Caenorhabditis elegans: one gene and its partner. The protein of the gene in region 1 purifies or fractionates together with the protein of each later gene. This does not show direct contact. Each region holds a gene or a part of one and is shown on either strand. Other genes may lie near its edges.

Region 1 (5,564 bases):
TTCAACATTTCGAAAACTTCGAACACTTCGTCATTATTCGAAACGAACGACAAATCTTCAAAATCAACTTTTCAAAGCTCTAGTGACTCAAACCATTATTCCAGTCGTCACAATGTTCATACCTGCAGCTGTTATGATGTTAGCTCCGTTGTTTGAAGTAACTCTAGGATCTTACGAAGTTCTGGTTATGCCAGTAATAACAACATATCCGTGTGTTGATCCAATAGTTGTCATATTCTTTGTAAAAGATTACCGACAAGCAATATGGCAGACGATTCGATGCAAAAGATGTCTCTTTAGCAGAAGCCGATACTCTCTTCGTGGAACTGCTGTGTCATTTATAACCGAGGCGTCATGATAATTTTTGAAATTTTAATTACATATTTCTGTGGATGCTCATGTTGGTGAAAATTTAAAATATATCTCAAAAGTTCAACGGGTGAATTCTAATAGTCTAATAAATACGTTTAATTGCTGATATGTTTGTGAACTGCTCTGGGGAAAGAATTTTCTTATTGAAACGGAAAGTAAGACACTATCAACAGTAATCACAAAAAATGAAGTCCAAAAAACCAATGTTGTAGAGAATGTGTACTTCCTTTCTACATATTTATTTCATCATACTACACGTAAATACGTTTTTTGGTTTCTACAAATCGACGAACCATCAAGTTCTGTCTGAATTCATTCAACTCACAGAAAGTCTATGTGATTTGATCTCTCAACTAGAAGTTTTTGCATGAATGGTTGATAAAACTACATTTATAGGGTTCTAGTATGTATTTGAAAATTAGTAGAAATTGTCAGAAGTGCGAAGCGAGGTAGTTGCGGTCCGGAAAATTTTATCAGTTTGGTGATTTCAGGAATTTCACATTGTGCGATATAGGAAAACCGATAATTGTGGCAATGTTCGCTAGCTTGGAAGTTTGATTTGGAGCTACTCAAGTGTTTGAATTATTCTGAGCGTTATAAATAATTATGTTTCTAACAGTTTAACTGTGCACCAAAACAGTATGCACCAAAACATTTAATTATTTTTGTTCATTAGAGAAATGGGCTTCACTTTTTCATTTGGTTTTGAAATATTGGAGAGTAAAAAAAGACATAATTAACTGTATTTTAACGCGAGAAGAATCAAGCTCAAGACAAAAAAGAATTGACCCGATGATCAGGATGTTCCGGGAAAAGAAATGTGTGATCAAACAAAGATGACACTGATTTGTGATTGTTAAGTAAAATCTTGCTCATTGGACATTACTTTCAAATGTTTCTGCCGACTTTTCTTTCTCATTTCTCCCCCTCACAGACAGTCAGTAGGGAATGCTGTAAGGATCGTGTAATTTTGACGACGAGGCAAACAATTTCGAGCAACAACGCAACGTAAGGAGGTGGAGGATAAGTGTGCCGTTGGAGACTTTGCGGAGGAGGGAACCGAAATGAAAGAGAAATAAAGAAAGATGTGAATCTGCCTTTCCCCTCCGTAGATATACAACAAACAGTAAGTCTCTGCTTGGATGGCTCACGGGAAGCTCGTGCTCCTGTCGGGTTGGCGGCGCGGGCGGCTGCCGCAGATGCAAAATCCTCCCACTTATCGCATGTGCATTCTTGAGAAGAAAAGACAGTTACGGGTGCCCTCCTTTCTCTTCATACCCTCTTACTAATCCTCCAATTATTTCCACATTTTCTTGTTTTCTGAAGTTGCCGCCAAGATTTTGAGAGTTGAATTTTCAAGAGCTCATGCGCGAAATGCCGAAAAACATCCGAAATTTGTCTGTCTCAGATTTTTTTGTTTCATTGTTCACATTCTTCATCGGTTATGTAGATTTTATGTTTCTTTTTATTACTTCTTCTATCCGTATTGCACTCTTTGGATCAGCTTTAGGAGATTTAGTCTCGATTTTAATTTTTTTTTAATCAAAAATATTTCATCAAGCGAAATATTAAAAGCGTCTTCTTTTTTCTATAATTTTCCTTTAGATGTTTATATAATAAACCGATATTATAAGTTGTCTAATTGCAGTAATTAGGCTGTTTGGGGAAATACTTTTTCACCACTTTTCAATGATTCAATTATATGTTTAGTTTTTTGTTATTTGAATTTTTTGTGAAAGTTTTATTGTTTTGTCGAATAGAGTTTAACATCACATACCCAGTCACAATTTTTCAGAACTCTCGGAATCAGTCCACTACTTTTTCATTAAGATCTACAATACTTGATGATTTTTAATGAACCTCGTTGTTCATTTTTCCAATATTTTTTTGTTTCGCCAACGCTTATCTTTGTTTGCATTGTGATACTATCATTATATTTACTTGTTTTTTTGTTGCAAACCTCTTGATCTTGCGATGTTTCGAAATACCTTTTCAGCTTCTATATTTTTTTAATCAGTGCCACCCAATTATGAACTTGGTGTTATTTCAGACATCGCGGCCGGTGTTCCTCACATAGAGAATCGATTAGAAGTTGTTGTACAGTAAGAAAGGAAAAAAGAAGTAGATCAAAATGACACACGAAGCGGATCCCGGCTGGCAGTTTCTTCGCCAGTCGCCAGAACAGGTAGATCTATCTTCTCTCACACTCTTTCGATTTGTTTGCATTTTACTTTTTCTTACTCTCACGCAATGATGTACTAGAGTCAACAAGAATATCTCGAGTATTTTTTGATCCGCGAGGGAATCGATGTTGTATCTAAGATTTTTTATTGGGGAAGATTTTGCAATGAGTTCATTTTTGATGTCTTGCAGTTTTATTAAAAGATCAAAACACAGATCAACATTGATCGATGGAACTGTATAATGAAAGAGATAATTTAGTTTATATGTATCTAAAAGAGCAAAGACGTATGGCTTTTTGACAATGAATGCATTTCTTCAAATATACGATTGGATGTGTCACAACATATTCATTTGAAACATTAAGGAGATAATTATTTTTGTAAAAGTAATATCTGTATTTAGGTCAAACTTAGGTGTCGAAAATATTTAAACCCTAATTCTGAGTACTCATTTCGAATACTTTATAACTATATATAACATTTAATATCCTAATAATCATCACTTGATTTTAATTCAAGCGTTACGTGATTTTATCTTAAAAAATCAATAAAACCCATCGAATACATAATTCAAGTTTTTACCATGGGAAGACAGAATTATTATAGATTATTATCAGTCAAACTATCCTGTAGAGACATCACAAATGAACATAAAAATTCCCCCAATTCATTCGTTATATTTCAGCTATTGGCGGCCACGACGAAGAAGTTCGATTCGAAGAAAAATGTGTGGGTTGCCGACCCAGAGGAAGGATTCATCGCCGCTGAAATCAAGTCTTCGAAGGGAGATACAGTGGTGGTGGTAACATCGAAAGGAGTTGAGAAGACGATCAAGAAGGACGATGCTCAACAGATGAACCCTCCAAAGTACGAGAAAACTGAGGATATGGCTAACTTGACATTCCTCAACGATGCTTCCGTTCTTCATAACCTTCGTCAACGTTACTATTCGATGATGATTTATGTATGTTTTTGAATGTTCTGAGGAAGTCATGAAAACTTTAAAACTATTTCAGACCTATTCCGGACTTTTCTGTGTCGTCATCAACCCATACAAACGTCTCCCGATTTATTCGGAATCGGTGTGTCAAATGTATCTGGGAAAAAGGAGAAATGAAATGCCACCTCATTTGTTCGCCGTCTCTGATGAAGCTTATAGAAATATGACCAACGGTATGGAATTTCAATTTTAACTATTTTTGATAATGTACATTATCAGATCGTGAAAATCAATCCATGTTGATTACCGGAGAGTCTGGGGCTGGAAAGACTGAAAACACGAAGAAGGTCATCTCGTACTTTGCAATGGTCGGAGCATCGCAACAGTCGAACAAGAAAAAGAGCAAAAAGGACAAAGCGCAAGTCTCGCTCGAGGATCAAATTGTGCAAACCAATCCGGTGCTGGAAGCTTTTGGTTGGTGGTTAGGGTAGTGTAAAGTGGGAGATCAAAAATCTTATCAAATGTTTGACAAACACTTGTGAAAAATTAGGGCTCTTGATTATACAATTACCAGATTTTCCCATGGAAAAAAAAACTTTTATATATTAAAAATTGTGAGGTGAGAACGTAGTGTATCATAAGTTAATAAAGGTTACAATGATGTTCTTTAAAGAAAAAATAAACAAGTACAACCAAAAATACCGTAACTCATAGAACCCGCTGACCTAGTAATCACAAAACCTATATACTACAGACAAATTGTGATGTTTAAGCCTTTTGCGTGCAAGTAGCCTTACGACGTGTCAACTCTTTGCCTTTGGTCACTTATCACCATATCCCGTGTACTCTTTCTATCCCTCTTGTCACCCAAAAAATCCTACCTCACAATGTGTTATTTGCTTGTATTTACAAGGAGATGACAACGCGTTGTGTACGAGATGTCGATTCTCGAGTGTCTCTTCTATCTGCCTTACTTTCTCTATTTTCACTTCATTTTTGACTTTGTTTGTAGATGAAACATTTCGAGGAAAAAGTGAGAGATAGAGAGCCCCACATGCATCCTCTTGAAATGCCAATAAAGACAGGGGGACATTTGGAAATTGAAGGACATTTTTTTGAAAAGTGAAATTTCAGGTAACGCCAAAACTGTTCGTAACAACAACTCGTCAAGATTCGGAAAATTCATCCGAATCCATTTCAACACCGGCGGTAAAGTGGCCGGAGCTGATATTGAACATTGTAAGTGGTTTGCAGTTTGATATCAGAGCGACTAACAGCATCACTGATCGGTAATTACTGTAAGAGTAAGGTAGGGTTACTGTGGATTGCAATTTCAGCCACTCAAAAGTTCAAGCGAAGGGCTGCTTTTCGAATTTAAAAATTAAGTTCATTTAAAGTTGTTGAGATCGTCAAAAAATCATATTTCGTAGCGTTATTGAAGGGTTTTTACAAACAGGCAATCGCCGAACCAGAAAATTTAATTCTCAACTTGCGTGATCAACACTTTCTATTCAGATCTTTTGGAAAAATCTCGTGTCATCAAACAAGCTCCCGGAGAGAGATCGTACCACATTTTTTACCAAATTTATTCTGATGCCGTTAAGGGACTCAGAGAGAAGCTTTTCCTTACTCGTCCAATCAAGGAGTACACTTTCGTGTCGCAAGCCGAAGTTACTATTGACGGAGTTGATGACAAGGAGGAAATGCTTATTACTGATGAAGCATTCGATATCATGAAGTTCACTGCTACCGAAAAGTCTGAACTTTTTGCAATCACTGCCGGTATCATGCATATGGGAGAGCTCAAGTTTAAGCAAAGACCAAGAGAAGAGCAAGCAGAGTTGGAAGAAGGAAAGGGTAAGTTGTGGATCTTCAAAAAAACAAATGTTTCAAAATTTGAATTCAGAAGGAGAGTTGGCTTGCAAGCTTTATTGCGTTGAATCTGAAAAGTTCATCAATGCTCTATTGAAGCCACGTGTCAAGGTTGGAACCGAATGGGTCAATAAGGGACAGAACCTGGATCAGGTTAACTGGGCTGTTGGCGCTCTTGCTAAGGCTCTCTTTGCCCG
Region 2 (8,632 bases), on another chromosome or scaffold:
AATTTCTGTGCAGGTATCAAACAAAGTTTTAAAAATTTATTAGAGCGAATTTCTAGGAATTGGTTTGGATCTGTCTTCTCCTTATGATCATGCAAGTGCTCCTGTACCAACCGAATCTTATCAAATTGCTTTCACTCTTTCTGGTGGAAAAATTAAAAGCACAAAAATGCAAGATGCTGAAATGTAAATTTTCCCTTGTTAGAGTTTCAAACTATTTTTCAATATTTTTAGCCAACTTATCAACACACTGGTTGAACGTTTCAAAATTCCACGTGGAAGCATTGAAGATGTAATTCTTCGGGATGACAACACTGTCAAATTCACAATTCGTGATGTTGATGCTCGACGGTTTGCAAGAGAAGTATCTGAAAAAGTGTCAACTGGTGAATGGACAATGACCCTCTCTGGGCAAAAACTGACAGCAGAGCCTCATACGTTGACAGCTTCACATGTTTCAAACGAGCACGGAAGGAAAAATACGGCCCAGGTTATCCTTTATGGTAAGAAACTACGACGTGATGTAACCAGAATAACTGTGATTCTTGCAGCAATATTACTCGCAGCTTCAATCTTCCTTCTGTGTGTTATCTGTCTAATTGGTTTTTCTTGTGTAAGTTTAGAAAACAAGTCAATATTTTTGTTTTTCGAAGTGTATTTTCATGATCATTTGATTTCAGTTCTGCTACTACAGAAATCATCCAAAAGATAGAGCTCACACTCCGACCAACACTACAACAATAACTGAACCTCGAAGTCGTCAAACTGGACTTCGTCGGGTATTTTCACGAGATGAAATATCAGAATGTTCTGATTTTAATCGTCCTCCAATGCACGACGTTTCAATGCTCAACCGTGATAGAGGACATCCTCGTTCACAAAGTTGGCTCTCAATCGGTTAACAATACGTGTTTTATAATTAATTCAATACTTATACTATGATACTTTCACATCCTTGCCATATTGTTTTCAGCTAGCATATAAATATTATTATAATTAACTTTGTTACCAGGTGAAATACATTTATTGGACAATGAAATATCATAATTATCACAGGTTACGAGAAAATTGGTGGACCACACACACGGTCCCTGAAACTCACTGAAATGCTAACAGAAAGTAGGAGAATCCATGAATCAGTCAACACATTTTGCAATGGTAATTCAGGAAAATTAGACACACAGCAAATCCTCCGACTGATAATGGAATGATAACCAGAAGGACAATAAGTGAGGAATTATTCTGGCGATACGTCGTTTCTGGCTGCAAATGTAGAGTTTTATTGTGTGAAGTTAATAGAATTGAAACTGACTTGTGGACGATGTTCAATCGGATACTGTGCATCTTGTTTCACAAACTGTACGGAATCCTTTGGATCAGGTCGAACATCAATCGATGATCTCAGAAATGCGAAGGTGTTGCAAAAATCTTCCGAGCATCTGCATACTTCTTGCCAGTTGTCCTGTCTCTCGTCACAATTCACATGAGCATTCAAAAACGGTAGTTCGTCAATAGTCCCGCAGTGTTGTCGAAGTCGTGGGACATCTCCTGAATATATAAGTTGGTTCAACTTTTTCAAGTACCTGTACTAAGAAAATTGGTTTTATAATCTATCTGCTCACTTCAGATCAATGTTATATTATTTATTCTTTTAAAACACCTAACTCTCAACAAAATTACTCTGGTCCAGGAACTTCTTTTTCGCGCCCAATTGCACCCAAAACACGCCTGAAGGGCGCTCATCCCCAAACGAAAAGCCCTCGAAACATTACATTTAATAGAGATACGTAGACATAATGTCTCTTAAAATCACACGCACTCTTCTCCATTCCACAAATTTGAATTCTCTACTACTTTGTATGTGTGTATGTGTGTGTGAATGACACAATTTGTGCAGAGCCTCACAGGAGAGGAGCTCTGTAGTAGAGATAGGGAAGATTTGAAGAGAAGTTTGTTTTGGTTCTTCTTTTTAGTGGAGAGTCCCGCGGGAATTGGTGTGCCAACTGCACCCACACTCTGCCACATCAATGCGTCATGTTTTTTCAAGAGACAGAGAGCTCCAAAAACGAGCCGACGAATTGAAGAACCCGGTGGCTGTTGCGGTGGGCTCAAAAGAGCAAGATGAATGGTGAAGAAGAGCTCTGATTGAACTCGCTGATAATTCGTTTCGCCTCCTCGTCGTTGATGTTGTTCTCGACTCAAAATGCAGATCATAAATTTTGAATAAGCTTCATGAACCTTCGCTTGCCCGATTTTTTTCGCGCTTCGATTTTTTAATTATTTTTTAAATTGTATTAGTATTAAAACGGTTCTCATGATTCAGATTTCAAATTTTTCAATTTCAATCAAATCTTTACGGAAAATATACAACTCTGTTTTCTCAAAATGTGTAAATAAAAAATGTTAAAGTCAGAATTTATTAGCAGACGTAAGCAACTTTGAGTACTTTCTTGAATTAGAAAATTGCCAAAAAAAAACTCAGAAAATTAAAAATATTCTAAACAAAAATAAAATATACTAAAATCTTTTTTTTTTGAAATCATTCAAATATTTTTGTTTTATGAAGTCATTTGTGAGTTTGCTTTTGACTATGATACCGAAATGAGCACTTTTATAGACTTTCGGCAAAGATAAATAGACTGAACTCAAATCTCTACACAAGTTTTTCGCGGTTTTTAAAATACTTATGAAATGTAGGTTGCGAATGTGGTTATACAAAAGCGATATAATAAGATACTTGTAAAATCGCAAATATTCAGCAAATTGCGACCACCGAGAGTCGGGATTTGCAAAGTACTGTTAAAATGTTAGTGGTCCGGCGGTGAAATTCGCTATTTGCAAAATGCCTCTATAATATTCGTGGTCACAGGCATTTACAAACGGCGAATTACCCTCCAAGCTTTACTTTTAAATATTCTTATCGGGTTTAAGTGAACTTTGTGAATTTCAAAAATGTTCCACATTTTCTTGCTATTTATTTGTTTTTCTTCAGTATACATACATATAACGTTTCCATAAACTTTTCAATGTTGCCTAGATGCCCGCCATCAAAAAAACTCACTGTCGTCACTTCGATGCAACCCGATAAAACAAAAATCTCCTTGACACAACAAGTTATCGTCACAAGAGTCTCGATCGCAGAAGCATTTTACTTGATGTCCTCCTGGAAATTAAATATTAAAATTTCTTTCACCAAAAATATAGAAAAATTTTGATCATATCTATTATTCAGCGTGATATTCCCAATCCCATCACCATTTTTCAAAATCTAACCTTCACAATACACTTTTGACAAAGAGTGGTTTCATTTTGTATAAGAGAGAAAAGAGGCGTTTAAGATATAATGTACCCAGGGGGATCCATTCTTTTTCTTTTTTCTTTATCCCCGCACACTTCTCACAAGCTATCGTCCTTTCGTTGATCAAATTTTGAATGAAGAAGGTCCTTCCCTAACAAGAAAAATGGATTCTAACGATGTGTGAGAGAAAAAATCCTTATTGTTTCAAATAACAAAATCTAGATGATCTCCATGACGAAACATATGTACTCTAGACAAGAAAAGTGGAATAGAGTTAGGGTGATGCCGGAAGAGCAAAAATACTTCCTGTGAGCTATTTTTTGGTACCAAAAAGGTGCATGCATGTTTTATAGAAAATCTGAAAGTTTCCAATTCAATGTGACAAGTTTTAAATCTAGTTTTTTTAAAACTAAAATATGCGTTTTTCAAAAGAAAAACATTTTTCATAACAGTATTTTATTTATTATGATGTCTACAAGTATAGGTGCTTCAGAAGAAAATTAGGTTTGCAAAATTTACCATAGAACCCTGAAATTAACATTCCATACCATAGTGATAAGGTTAAGAACTGTAGGAGCAAAGTATATTGTTTCTAAACAATTATCATTGATTTCTAAACAATTATCACTGTTTTGTTTACCACAAATATTGTTCACAAGGTCCTAAACAAACGCTCATTAAAAAAGAAATAACCCCAAATTCTTAATGGAGTCCACTACTCGTTGTGCTGCTTTTGAGACATTTCGAAAAACCTTTTTCCGCATGCCATTCGACTTGTATAAACAAACAATTGGGTCGCCTGTGGTCTTGACTTCCGGCTGGTCCAATGTCTTAGTCATTATTGGGTCACTTAAAAACTGAATGAGTTTCTCTGTTTCTCTCTTCAACTGGACCCTGTTAATGCATAGTTGAGGAAAGTGCACATCCAGATGAAATGAAAGCACGAAGTCCGCTCATCTTGCTCATAATTTATGAATTACGCGCATAATCAATTTATCTATGGAAGTAGAGGGACCATATTGGTAGGTCCTTTTAGTGGAAAAAAGTTTGGAGAATTAAATTCCATTTTGCAATAGCAAACGACTTTTGACTTTTTAAAAGTGCACCGGAAACGCTCAACTTTTATTCGCTTGGATAATAGTAGACAAAACTATCTCTAGAAAAGTGCACGGGAAGCTTTTAGAAGTATGAAAAAGGAAGGGATCTAAGGTGCGAGAGGATTCCGGACCCCGGATGGATCTGAAGTGCAAAGTGGAATAGTTTTGATGAAGGAAAGAAATTGGGTGGGTGTATGTGTAATTTGACCGACAGCCAAGACGATAGAAAAGTGCACAAAGACACGCAACGCAATTTTCCTGATGTTCTCACGATGGATAAAGAAGCTGAAGGCAAAATACAAATAACCCTTTGCTTTCAATTCTTTCGAAATTTTTGGAAACCAAATTGGAAAAGAAAATGCCAAGAATCAAAACAAAGATTTTATGTTTTACACATAAATTCAGAAATTTGGTGATAAAATAGTAGCGTCTAGCTCTATGAATCTCAAAGTTATAGTATGAAATTTACGATTTTACGATGTGTATCATGTTGTTTTTGGGAACATGTACATAAAAACCGGATGCTCTTAAACTCGGAAAATCTACAACACTACGAAATCATGTATTTAAAATTAAAAATAAGATGTATGGGCATAGAAAAGTGGTTGATTGATTGGATAATATATTTATTTTTGCTTTCCATTGCAAGATGATTCCATTTTGAACTGATACAAATATTTTTTGGCAGACTGATACCGGTAGAACATTTTCAGGTTTTTGAAAATTATTTTAACTTTATAAATAATTTTATTTTCAATTCAAATATTTTTCCATACTTTTACATTAATTTTTGAATGTAAAAGTAGACTGTTTTGTTGATTTGAATTGCTCGAAACCCCCGTTTTTTTGAATAATTATTGTAAGTGTACTTTGAACCCAAAATACTTTCAAGTTCAATTTTTTTTCAAAAAGTTGACTATGATGAATCACTTAACGTGATTTGACAAGTGGTTTTGCGGTTAGTCGTTTGGCTTTCTGCGGCAGCTCATCTCATCTTTTCAAACGAGCACCAGATAAACGCGTGTTTTTTTCCTCCTCAATCCCGGAAACTAATAGAAGTTGATCATGATGATGATGATGATAAACAACATATAAATCAGATGTCTCGAGGAAGAGCCGAGAGTTCGACAAAAAGATGAAAAACAGTTGGTGGCGGCGGCGGCGAGAAATAAAACGAAACGAATCGTCATTAATTTCTCGTTGTGAAAGAAAATAGGCGATTCGGGCTCTCGGACATCTGGAATCTAACGGGCTTTTTTTGTGAATTTTTCAATTGTCGTCATCATCAGAAGCAGTTTTTCTTTTTACAAAATATCTCATGACAACGAGAAATGTAGAATGCAAACGGAAAATATGCTTGGAAAAAGAATATAATTAGCTCAATTGTGGATGTATTCTTACCTAGACATCTCTGTTTTTCTTTTTATTTTTTTTTCTTTGAATATCCTCTGATACTGGATAATAATAAACAATATCTATAGATATTGCGAGGGAAAGCATTAAAAAAAAACAAAAATCGTTGTCAAAGATTAGCATTAACAAACTTTGACTCATCACTAGAGACCACCAATCTTTATTAATCCCCCTCAAAACCTCCCTCTAAACATTTGAATATTTATATGTTGATCTTTTCACTTCTTAAAAAAGTAAAGACATACCTGCAAAAGTAAATGAGATGACGAGAGCCACCCACAACCAACAAGTCCATATTAATCGCATAACTTTTGACGATGTGAAGAATCAGAAGCCAAGTTGGTTTCAGATAAGATGTGAGAGAAGTGTGGTAGAAAAATGAACGAAATCAGGTGCATTGGATGATGCCTCGTTCACATCCACCACATCGAGAGATAGGGAGTGTTATCGTCGAGATTCGTTGTCGTGGGGACTACAATAATTATAGGATGGTCCTCGCAGACACACGAAAAAATAGAAAAAGAGGAGGGTATCAAGGCGTCAGTGACAACATGCAGCCACTACCACCAGCAGTAGAAAAAGCACAATATTTCTTTCTCCGTCTCTGTCTATGTGACGAAGAAGCGAAAAACGAGGAAGAAGCTGGAGGAGAATGGGCGTGGCTTAGGAGGAGAAGGAGGAGGATGAAGAGAATGCAGAGGTGGAGCTACTTTTCATATTTTTCTGTCTGATTTTGGACTTTGGGCAGATCAAATTGCTTGAAGAACACGAGAAATATTAATGAAAATACGAAACAAAAGAATTCAAAAACTGGTCTTGAATATTTAAATTGGTCACAGAAAAAAGAAACCGTGTGATTTGTAGAAAGCTATTCGGGTATTAAATGTATATATGAGAAAGTAATCTGAAATTAATTAATTAATCATGGCTATCAAAAGCATGATACAAATCTTTACACTTTCATATGTATGTTGAATGAATCGATGTCAGGACCCCGAAAACATTGAAACTTGAAGATATGGTTCAAATATAAACAGGATTACTGTTTTTCGTCTTTTTTTTTGAATTTGAGTGTACTTATAGAAAGTAGTAACCTGAGTTCTCAAAATAGAAAATCACAAGGCATGTGAGACAGTAGAATTGTATTGCTTTCTGATCAAAAGTAGGTGAATGTATCTATAAATGATACTCACTCAAAATTTGATGCAGATAGATTCATCCAGTTCCATATTTAGAACATCTTAAAGGTGGAGTACCGAAATCTGGGAATATTTTTAAATTACTCCAAATTTTCTGATTCCGAATATCGATGTGAAATATGAAATCAGGGCAATTTTTTTGAAATTTTTAACATCGATATTCGGAATCAGGGGCAAATTTGGAGCCATTTAAAAATATTTCCCAGATTTCGGTGCACCTTCTTTACAGTAAGTTTTAAGAAACGCTGAAAACTGTTTAAATGAGAAAATATTTTGGTTATAAACTACGAAACAAATTCACGGCGGAGATCAAATTCATCATAATTAATCTTACTTTAATCTTTCTTGTAATGCTCCGAATAGCTGTACATCAACTATGTATATATAGTAATCAATGAGATATGTATTGAAACAGTGAAACAGTAATAGTTGTGGATGTGGTTTCCAAAGATTTTGGACGCTTTTTTCGAAAAAGCTAGGTTTATCACAACTTTGAGATCTACTGTCATCTTTGGATAATTTTTGTTCATCCTGGTCTTCTCGAACTGTTTTCAGATTTCTATTGCAAAATGGAACTTAGTAGTTTCAATGCATCGAATAATAACACAGAATTCAATTCAAATTTTGACATGAATATATTTCTTGAGTATATCTTCTAAATGTAGGAAAACTCATGAAAAAATCACGACATTCCTTGGAAAATGTTGGAAAAACGGGTCCGTCATCATGCACCTTTTCCCTGAGGGCAGTCTCACACACTCTCACATACAAAAAGTGGCTAACAACAAAGCCAATTCTTCTAACGGGCGGTGCTCGGTTGAACAAAAAAACGTTTCTGATCGAGATGGCAAGGGTGGATGAAAGGAATGAATGGACTGACTGACTAGTTGAGTGGGAAAAAGGAGCACAAGAGTACATTTAGAGACAAATGGGGAGTCAGTGGCTAAGAGACAATGGCTCTTACTCCATAAAATGTCAAATGTGAAATGGAAAGTGAAGACGGGTCACGATTACTAATTGAGCCACGTCGTCTTCAGTAAAATAATCTTCCGTAAAGTTTCCAGAGGCACAACTGAAACAATTGCAAAAAAACCTTACCCTTGGGCAATTTTGAAGTTTGAACACTGCAATGTCAATGGTTCCTACTTGATTTTTTCGTGATTTTTTTTCAAACTTTCTTAGCATGTTAACAAAAAAGTTTAGTGGCATAATTTTAAAACACTCTGGCAACAAATAGATACCAACCTTTTAAAAATCTTAGCGATTCAAATTTTTCGAAACTTCTTGTTTTAAGATGTGCTACCGAACGGTATGTTTTTCGAAAACAGAAAAAAACCGAGCAGCATTTTTTTCCTAACTTGGCCAGGTAGTTTATCTGGTTTCTAACTTATTAAATTTTTTTCTAGTTTTCAAAGACAGTCCCGATTCGGACCCTAGAAGAAGAGTTACAAATTTTAAAGAGGATAAGCTTTAGAAATTGCATAACTGTGACCATGATTTTTTTAGAAGAAACTTCCAATAAAGTACACAAGTAGTCATTTTTTTTGAAGTGGAAAAAGAAAGGAATCTCGAAAATCAACAATTTAGTGTGTAACTGCTTCTTTTTTCGGCAGAGGAGTAGGAGACCC

What was found. The genes of interacting proteins can lie anywhere in the genome.
Region 2: the proteins of myo-5 (region 1) and C08G9.1 fractionate together in Caenorhabditis elegans (co-fractionation; one large-scale study listed by BioGRID). This does not show direct contact.

Annotation. Positions count from the first base shown.
Region 1 is NC_003283.11:8,106,548-8,112,111, forward strand, and holds the start of myo-5 (MYOsin heavy chain structural genes), read left to right. Parts: upstream 1-2,422; 5' UTR 2,423-2,503; coding exon 2,504-2,557; intron 2,558-3,240; coding exon 3,241-3,519; intron 3,520-3,571; coding exon 3,572-3,728; intron 3,729-3,774; coding exon 3,775-3,969; intron 3,970-4,629; coding exon 4,630-4,734; intron 4,735-5,010; coding exon 5,011-5,352; intron 5,353-5,401; coding exon 5,402-5,564. Other genes in the region: str-90 (Serpentine receptor class r-10), read left to right, coding at 1-358.
Region 2 is NC_003282.8:7,656,539-7,665,170, reverse strand, and holds C08G9.1 (Activin_recp domain-containing protein), read right to left. Parts: upstream 6,409-8,632; 5' UTR 6,112-6,408; coding exon 6,051-6,111; intron 3,288-6,050; exon of another isoform or gene 3,196-3,287; intron 3,161-3,195; coding exon 3,059-3,160; intron 2,028-3,058; exon of another isoform or gene 1,880-2,027; intron 1,546-1,879; coding exon 1,310-1,545; intron 1,261-1,309; coding exon 1,138-1,260; 3' UTR 1,005-1,137; downstream 1-1,004. Other genes in the region: C08G9.2 (uncharacterized protein), read left to right, coding at 1-13, 57-183, 232-500, 549-610, 678-899.